2 linked regions of the Mus musculus genome follow. The protein of the gene in region 2 purifies or fractionates together with the protein of the main gene of each other region. This does not show direct contact. Links are inferred from orthologs where the notes say so. Each region holds a gene or a part of one and is shown on either strand. Other genes may lie near its edges. The genes, in order: Stx12 and Snap25.

What was found.
Region 1: the proteins of Snap25 (region 2) and Stx12 purify together in Homo sapiens (co-immunoprecipitation; 3 studies listed by BioGRID and IntAct, with this or other methods). This does not show direct contact. The link is inferred for Mus musculus from reciprocal best matches to the Homo sapiens genes SNAP25 and STX12.

The regions. Positions count from the first base shown.
Region 1 is NC_000070.6:132,860,197-132,864,011, forward strand, and holds part of Stx12 (syntaxin-12), read right to left. Parts: intron 3,101-3,815; coding exon 2,963-3,100; intron 2,674-2,962; coding exon 2,630-2,673; intron 454-2,629; coding exon 348-453; intron 1-347. UniProt on the Homo sapiens protein: SNARE promoting fusion of transport vesicles with target membranes. Together with SNARE STX6, promotes movement of vesicles from endosomes to the cell membrane, and may therefore function in the endocytic recycling pathway.
Region 2 is NC_000068.7:136,712,521-136,716,396, reverse strand, and holds the start of Snap25 (synaptosomal-associated protein 25), read right to left. Parts: upstream 2,948-3,876; 5' UTR 2,797-2,947; intron 2,755-2,796; exon of another isoform or gene 2,614-2,754; intron 2,525-2,613; exon of another isoform or gene 2,059-2,524; intron 1-2,058.

The sequences.
Region 1 (3,815 bases), on a different chromosome or scaffold from region 2:
GAAGTTCAATTTTGCCACAACTAAATTTATAGATAATATAAAACACACAAAGGGGCTGGAGAGATGGCTCAGCGGTTAAGAGCACTGACTGCGCTTCCGGAGGTCCTGAGTTCAAATTCCAGCAACCACATGGTGGCTCACAACCATTCTTAATGAGATTTGATGCCCTCTTCTGGTGTGTCTGAAGTCAGCTACAGTGGACTTACGATATAATAAATAAATTAAAAAAAAACACAAACACACAAAGACTTAACACAGCCCTTTTCATATAAATCTGGCAAAAAAATATTTTTTCCCTAATATATGCAGACACTTGAGCCAAATAAAAGCCATAGCCTGCCTCTCACCTCCAGCTGCCGAATCGCCGTTTCCCTCTCTTTGATGAGTTCCAGGTCTTGCTCAGTGATGGCCGCCTCTTCCTCCTGGCTCTGCATTTGGTTCCACTCTTCATGGCTACAGGGAGACAAGCACTCCAGCTGACTCCTTCTCTCTAAGGTATGAGGAGACATAACTACATCTCTGCTAACAGCAGAACCTAGGCAGATGCTACTCAAGACCCAACTCTTCTGCTATCAGTACAAAATCCCCGTGGGCCGTATTCTCATCCAGAGGCAAAGATGTGATAAGAAAAGAAAACTTCAGCCACAGGCAAAACTGAGATGAGGCAGAATTGTGGAGAACAGACCTCTGCCTTTTCCACCTAGGCTTGTTTGTTTGTTTGTTTGTTTCAGTCTTGCTAGGATTTGCTAGACAAAGGAAGTATCCAGAGGTTTCAGAGGTTTGACTCCATGTATTACACAGACTCAGCTTTCCAGGAGACTCTCAAAGTATAAGTGGGGCTGGAACCAGAGGCACTCAGTGAAGGGAGGAAAATACACTAAGCCACCAAACAGGGTTTTACCAGCTTATCTGTCAGAAACACATCTGGCTCCAGGACTTTTCTTGGAAAAGACTCCACTTAAGAGAAAACCAAACTGGGGGCTGGAGAGATGGCTCAGCGGTTAAGAGCACTGACTGCTCTTCCAAAGGTCCTGAGTTCAAATCCCAGCAACCACATGGTGGCTCACAACCATCTGTAATCTGATCTGATGTCGTCTTCTGGTGTGTCTGAAGACAGCTACAGTGTACTTACATATAATAAATAAATCAACCTTTAAAAAAAAAAAGAGAGAGAAAACCAAACTAAAAGCTAATAAAATATTTGCAACTTGATTTTTTTTTTCAGGTAATTCTGTGTACCATGTGTATGCCTGGTGCCCACCAAGGCCAGAAGAGAGCTTTGGATCCCTTGAAACTGTTGTTTCAGATAGCTGTGAGTACACTTACAAAAAAAATAGTACTATTTATTAAATTAAAAAAAAATTGGGGGGCTGGAGAGATGGCTCAATGGTTAAGAGCACTGACTGCTCTTCCAGAGGTCCTGAGTTCAATTCCCAGCAACCACATGGTGGCTCACAACCATCTGTAATAGGACCCGATGCCCTCTTCTGGTGTGTCTGAAGACAGCTACAATGTACTCATATATACAAAATAAATAAATCTTTAAAAAAAAAATAAATGGAGCTGGGCATGGCACGTGGTAGCCAGAAGACAGCAGTGGATCCTCTGGGACTGGACTGCAGACAGCTATGAGCCACCACAGGAACTGGGAACTGAGCCTGTTCCTCTGCAAAGCAGCCAGTGTTCTTAACCACTAAGTCATCTCTTCAACTCTATTTATTTACTTATTTGACAGACAAGCTATGTAGCCTGGCTGCCTCCTATTCTCTTGATCTTCTTGCCTCATCCCCTAAAGTGGTAGGGTTACAGGTATGCACTACATGCCTGGCTCAAATCCTGATCTTATTTACTTATGCTTTCTTTCCTTTCCTTTTCCTTTTTCTTTCTTTTCTTTTTCTTTCTTTCTTTTTTTTTTTTTTTTTTTTGGTTTTTCGAGACAGGGTTTCTGAGTAGACCTGGCTATCCTGGAACTCACTTTGTAGACCAGGCTGGCCTCGAACTCAGAAATCCGCCTGCCTCTGCCTCCCGAGTGCTGGGATTACAGGCGTGAGCCACCACCGCCCGGATCCTTTTTCTTTTTTTTTCCTTTTCCTTTTTTCTTTTTGAGATAGGTTCTTACTATGTGGCTCTGGCTGTCCTAGAACTCACTATGTAAACCAAGCTGGCTTTGAATTCAGAGATCCACTCGCCTCTGCTTATCAAGTGCTGGGATTAAAGGCATGTGCCACTACAACTAGCCCTGACTTTTTTTTTTTAATTTTTAAGTAAAAATAGTCACAAAGAGACTAGACAGTTCAACAGTCAAGATCACTGGTTGCTCTTACAGAGGACCCAGGTTTGATTCCCAGCACTTACATGGTAGCTCACAGCTATCTGAAACTCCAGTTTCAAGGGATCTAAAGCTCTCTTCTGGCCTTTGTGGGCACCAGGCATACACATGGTACACAGAATTACATGCAAGTAAAACCTCCACAAACATACAAAAAAGAAAAGAAGAAAGAAAGAAAGAAAGAGTGTGTGAGAGAGAGAGCGAGAGAGAGAGAGAGAGAGAGAGAGAAGAAAAGAAAAATAGACACAAAGGCGTGGACTCACAGTAACTATCCAGCATGTTGGATGAGTGACCTTTTACCTGTCAAATGAGACGAGCTGCTCTTCTCTCTGCCTGTCTTCTGCCTAGAAAACAGATGGTTGTAGCTGCTGTTATCCAAAAACATGCCAGAGATACACAAAATAAGAGCTGCCTTGGCTACAGTACTAAGGAGTGACAGCCTCCGCTCCGACCACATCTATAAGTGACACTCTGGCAATCTGTCTTGAGTAAGAAACAAATACGAAATAGGAGAAGGTGAATCTGCCTTTCAGTTGGACCGAGAACACAAAGCACGGTATCTGGTGGAGACAGGAGGCGTGCTGGGCTGCACCCTCTGGGCTGCTAAAGGCCTTCTCTTGGGAAGGAACTTACAGAAAGACGAGATCCGGCTCTCGCTCTCGCGATGCTCTCCTTTTCCTTCTCAGATACCTTTCTCTGCACAACCTGGAAATTGTTTAAGGCCGACGAGAAGTCATTCATGAGCCGCTCCTTCTGAAGCTTCTGCTGGCGCTGAACAAAGTAAACAAGAACTTGAACTCTCAAGTGAACTCAGAACTATTTGGTTTAATACTGATTAAAAGCACAATTGCACACTTTAGAGATTTCAAAGTACAAAAGTTATTACAAAATCGGCTTTTCCTTAAATGCTGTTTGTTTCCTTCCTGAATTACAGTCCCAGCTAGCCCTACGGCCCAGGTCAGAGCACGCTGATAAACTTGGGGCTACATGCATTTACCTCAATACTCAAAAGGAATCGCAATTTGGAATATTTGGTCCCTGGAGAATCTAAATGCATAGTAAAGAATTTTGAGCTCAGTGCATCTAATTTTTTTTTAAGGGAGGGTATTGGAGCCATTTTCCTATACTAAGTAATTAGTTTTCCTCAAAATTACCATTATTCTTTACAGCTTTTCTTTTTGAGTTTTAAAATTTTCAAGAACTTAAAAAAAAAAAACCACAACTTTATTTACTTACAGGCTATCTTCACTATACTAATCTCTCTCAAAACTATAAACTGAGAACTTGCTCTGAGCTACAGATCTGACTTAAATAATGTCTTCTTCCTCTCCTGCTCTTCTTCTTCTTCTTCTTCTTCTTCTTCTTCTTCTTCTTCTTCTTCTTCTTCTTCTTCTTCTTCTTCTTCTTCTTCTTCTTTTTCCTCTTCCTCTTCCTCTTCCTCCTCCTCTGACTCTTCTTTTTTTAATGATTTTGCAAGACAGGGTTT
Region 2 (3,876 bases):
TCTACAATGGTCAAAGCCAACAGTTCTCCTGAAGGCCAGCTGCTATGCAGTTGCTAGGCGTCATTGGAGGAGAAATCAATTGTTCAGCTGATAACCTTTACTGCAGGGTTAACTTTAGAGTTTAGGAATATCATCTAACAAATTAAGGGACAGCTTGCCTTAGAGCTGTGAAAGCTTTATAAAGTAAAGGTTAAATTATCAATTCTAGGGATATTGCACCATGAAAAGATTGTAGAAATTGTACATTATTTTGTGCTGAGAATGCTAAATGTGGAAAACAACAATAAACAAACAAGCAGGTTCCATCCCACCATCTGCAGGAATGTTTCCTGGATTCTCCATATGCCTCTCTGCTCCCACCTCCTTCATCACATTGTCCTGGATTTTTAAAACGAAGAAAAACCATCTTATTATTTTTCCTTCTGAAGATTTTCCATGACAAAAATGTTAAATCTACGTCACAGGTACATTTCTTTTTATTTTCTCAGCTAACTTTCCTATATATTCAGCTATATAAATACTCATATTGCCTCTTTTTCCCACCTCGGCACCTTAGCCAGCTTTACTGCAATGCTATGCCCCCTTCCTTCATCTTCCACTATCCAGCAAACCTAGCAGTAATTACTAACGTTCAAGCACATAATTCAGGCAGCATTAGGCTTTGCATTTGACGCAACTGCGCAGAACTGTCTGGATTTGCACTATAACAGCAAAGCATTTAAATAAGACTCCTCCCCATACTCCCCCCCCCCTCCACCTCCCATCAATGAAACGTAGTTGTTTATTATATCTGAAGATTTCAGAGTTATAAACTCCCATGCAGCTAAATAATCTGGAATGAATTTCCACTGAGATCAACTTACATCTACACACAATAATATGCCAGCATATACATACATGGAAACACATGATTTTTATAAAGAGAACCCACAAATAAATAGCTGGGGATAAAATAACTCTTTTTAATAGAGAATTTTAGTATCTTTGGGAGACAGATGATTGGAGTTATAACTAAATGAACACAATTCAAGACCTTTGGGAGGAGGTCTTTAAAAGGGTTCATGCTAGCATGTCTTTAATGCATTATATACATCCTTATATATGAAGCTGTTATTCTCATTTAACAACTGTGGAAAGCATATCATTTTAGTCTTGATACATTCATGACAATTATGAGACTCTAAATCAAACAGATATTTATCATCATGACAATTTTTGCTCATGCGGAGTCTCTAAGCCTCAGAGAAGAAAATAGTTATCATGACCTCAGCAAAATCCTGCAGTGCCATAATAGAAATTGCAGTGAATCTTGGGGGTCAGATTCCTGCTTCAGCCGATTCATAACCCTGAAGGACATGTTTAACTTCTCCCAAGGATGACCATTCTTAACGTCAACATCTACAGCAATCAATCTGCCATATCCAATGTTAATATGAAATGCACTAACTCCAAAACCACAGCCAAAGATATTGAAATTTTTCTTTTGGCTGTGTATGCTTGTTTCTACCTAGTTTTAAGAATAAAGGAAAAGTGACAAAGGGATTTATTCCAGAAACTAGTTCAGATAACCCATATTAAAAAAAAACACAGGGAAGGAACTGTCCTATAAATAGATAGTACTAGCATCATCTTATAAGCCCACTGGAGCCCACCTAATATCAACGGATATATCTACCCTGTGTTAAATACAAAAAATTACAGTATATATGTCGTAATGGAGGATAAGTGACCGTTTTTAAAAGTATGGTTTTGTTTTGTTTTGTTGTTTTGTTTTTGTCTAAACCAAGGCACAGGAAGAAATACAGAAGGCTTCTACAAGTAGTCTGCTTTTTCTTGAAGCTACGTGGGAAGTGAGGAAGAGAGCAGGCAATTGTCTGTAAATAAATCCCTGCTGACAGGATTTATTCTTCTGTCTTTCTTTTAATCTACTATGCGAGCTCTATTAAGACTTTCTATAAGACCTGGATCTCAGAGAGAAAATTTGGCCTCTAGTCCCAGCCAGGCATCTCTGCAGCAGGTAATGCGGCGCTGCAGCCGGATCGCTGTCCGCGGTGCTGAAAGGTCAGGGCGCCGACGCGGGCGCCGAGCACTCCTGTCCAGGGTGCTGAGCTCCCGCCATCGCACCCCCACTAGTCTAGCCCACCGCACCAAACCTCCAGAGCTCTCCCACTTTGCAGCACATGCTCGCCTGTAGCTGACTTGGGGCAGGCGGCATAAATCAAGTCTGTGGGGCATGGAGGCTGCTGCCGCTGCCGCTGCCGCAGCTCAGCTTGCCCAGGGAGGGAACTGCCCCCCTTCTCCTTTCGCCTCCCCAGCGCCCACACCCTGCCTTCTCATCTCCCTTGGGTAGCAGTGCCCTAAACACTACAGTCATAATCATAGGGTTGGAACGAACTACAAGATCGTGTTTTGCTTTTAAATTTTAGACTACAGGTAGAAAAAAAACCCCACAATCCTAATAACCTAAACATATCTCAAAACTGCATCGCAAGATGGAAGAGGGTCCCACGGCTGCTTCAAAAGAGTAAGTTATTATTCTGTACACATCCTCGCTATTTCTTCCCACCACTCCATCTGTAGTGTCCCCATTCACTCCTTCTCCAAACAGCTCACCTCGAAAATACTTTTATGCAGCCCCAGGCGAGAGTCTAGGTAGATATGCACACAGGGAATACCGCACCCTAAGTGCACCAATACTTGTATTTACCCAGGCTCACTTGGGCTGCCAGCTGCAGTCCCTTCTGTGTATGCAGCCATACAGGGCTAGGACCTGGATCGGGGGAGGGGGCTCTTTACCTTGTCTTCTCCGGAGGATGCTGTCCGCTGATCCCTGCAGGTAGCAAGAGTGGAGGAGCCGCCGGGTAGGGAGGGAAGGAAAGACAGCTCCAGACCTCCCCGAGGTTTCTTCTTCAATGCAACGTGAGCTCTGCCCTCATCAAAGATGGCCGTTCCTTTGACGTCAGCAGCTTTTAATAGCCGGCTCCTCGAGGGGCGGGGAGGAAGTGTGATGGGGGAGGGCGGAGGGAGGAAGGTGGCTGGGGGCGGTAGGGGAGGAGCCGGGAGGTGCGGAGCGCTTGACTCAGCTCCCTGAGCGCTTTGCAGCAACCCTTTTTATTTCAATCTTTTATAAACACCCAAATGGAGCGATTCTTTTGACTCCATTTTAGCACCGTCTTGGGAAATACATATTTCTTGCGACTGTTTTCCTGATGGCCTATGCGTTTGCTTACGTGTGCATGCATATGTGAATATATGTATGTAAATACGTGTGTTTGGAATGTATATACAATTATAATAATGTAAACATATACATATTTATATGTAAAACGTTCCCCTGATGATTTGTCTTTGGTTGAGTCACAGACACGAGAGGAAGGTAAAGGAATAGAAGGGTAATGATGTGAGGGATTGGCATAGATTTCTGTTGTGATTTATTTTCTCCAGAGAAGAGGGTCCGAAGAGGCATTCCCCTCAGCTCTCGCTCTCACCAGCTCCTTTCGTGACCAGGTTACTCACATTGCTATTTTTATGAAAATTATTGTATTAAAGCAGCATTGCAGGTTTAGAGTTCTCATTTAATCATGGCCAGTTTGGGAAAGGCTCACACTTTCTTTTAAAGTACGTCAGAGCAATTATCACCGAGATAACACCTGAGTTGGGGAAAGGGAGAGGGAAGCTAGTTAGCCCTATTAGCTTGGGTTTGCAGGGCTAGGGCTTTGAGTTGCGAGTTGTTTGCCCGGGGCTTATAGATGACTCTGTGGCGGGTTGAATTTGCAGTCTGGGCCTAGAGCGGTATTCGGGTTTCTTAGAACGTGTCCAGACATCCGGGGGTGGGGGTGGGGGGAAGGTGGCTAGGACAGTACTGAAATCTGGAGG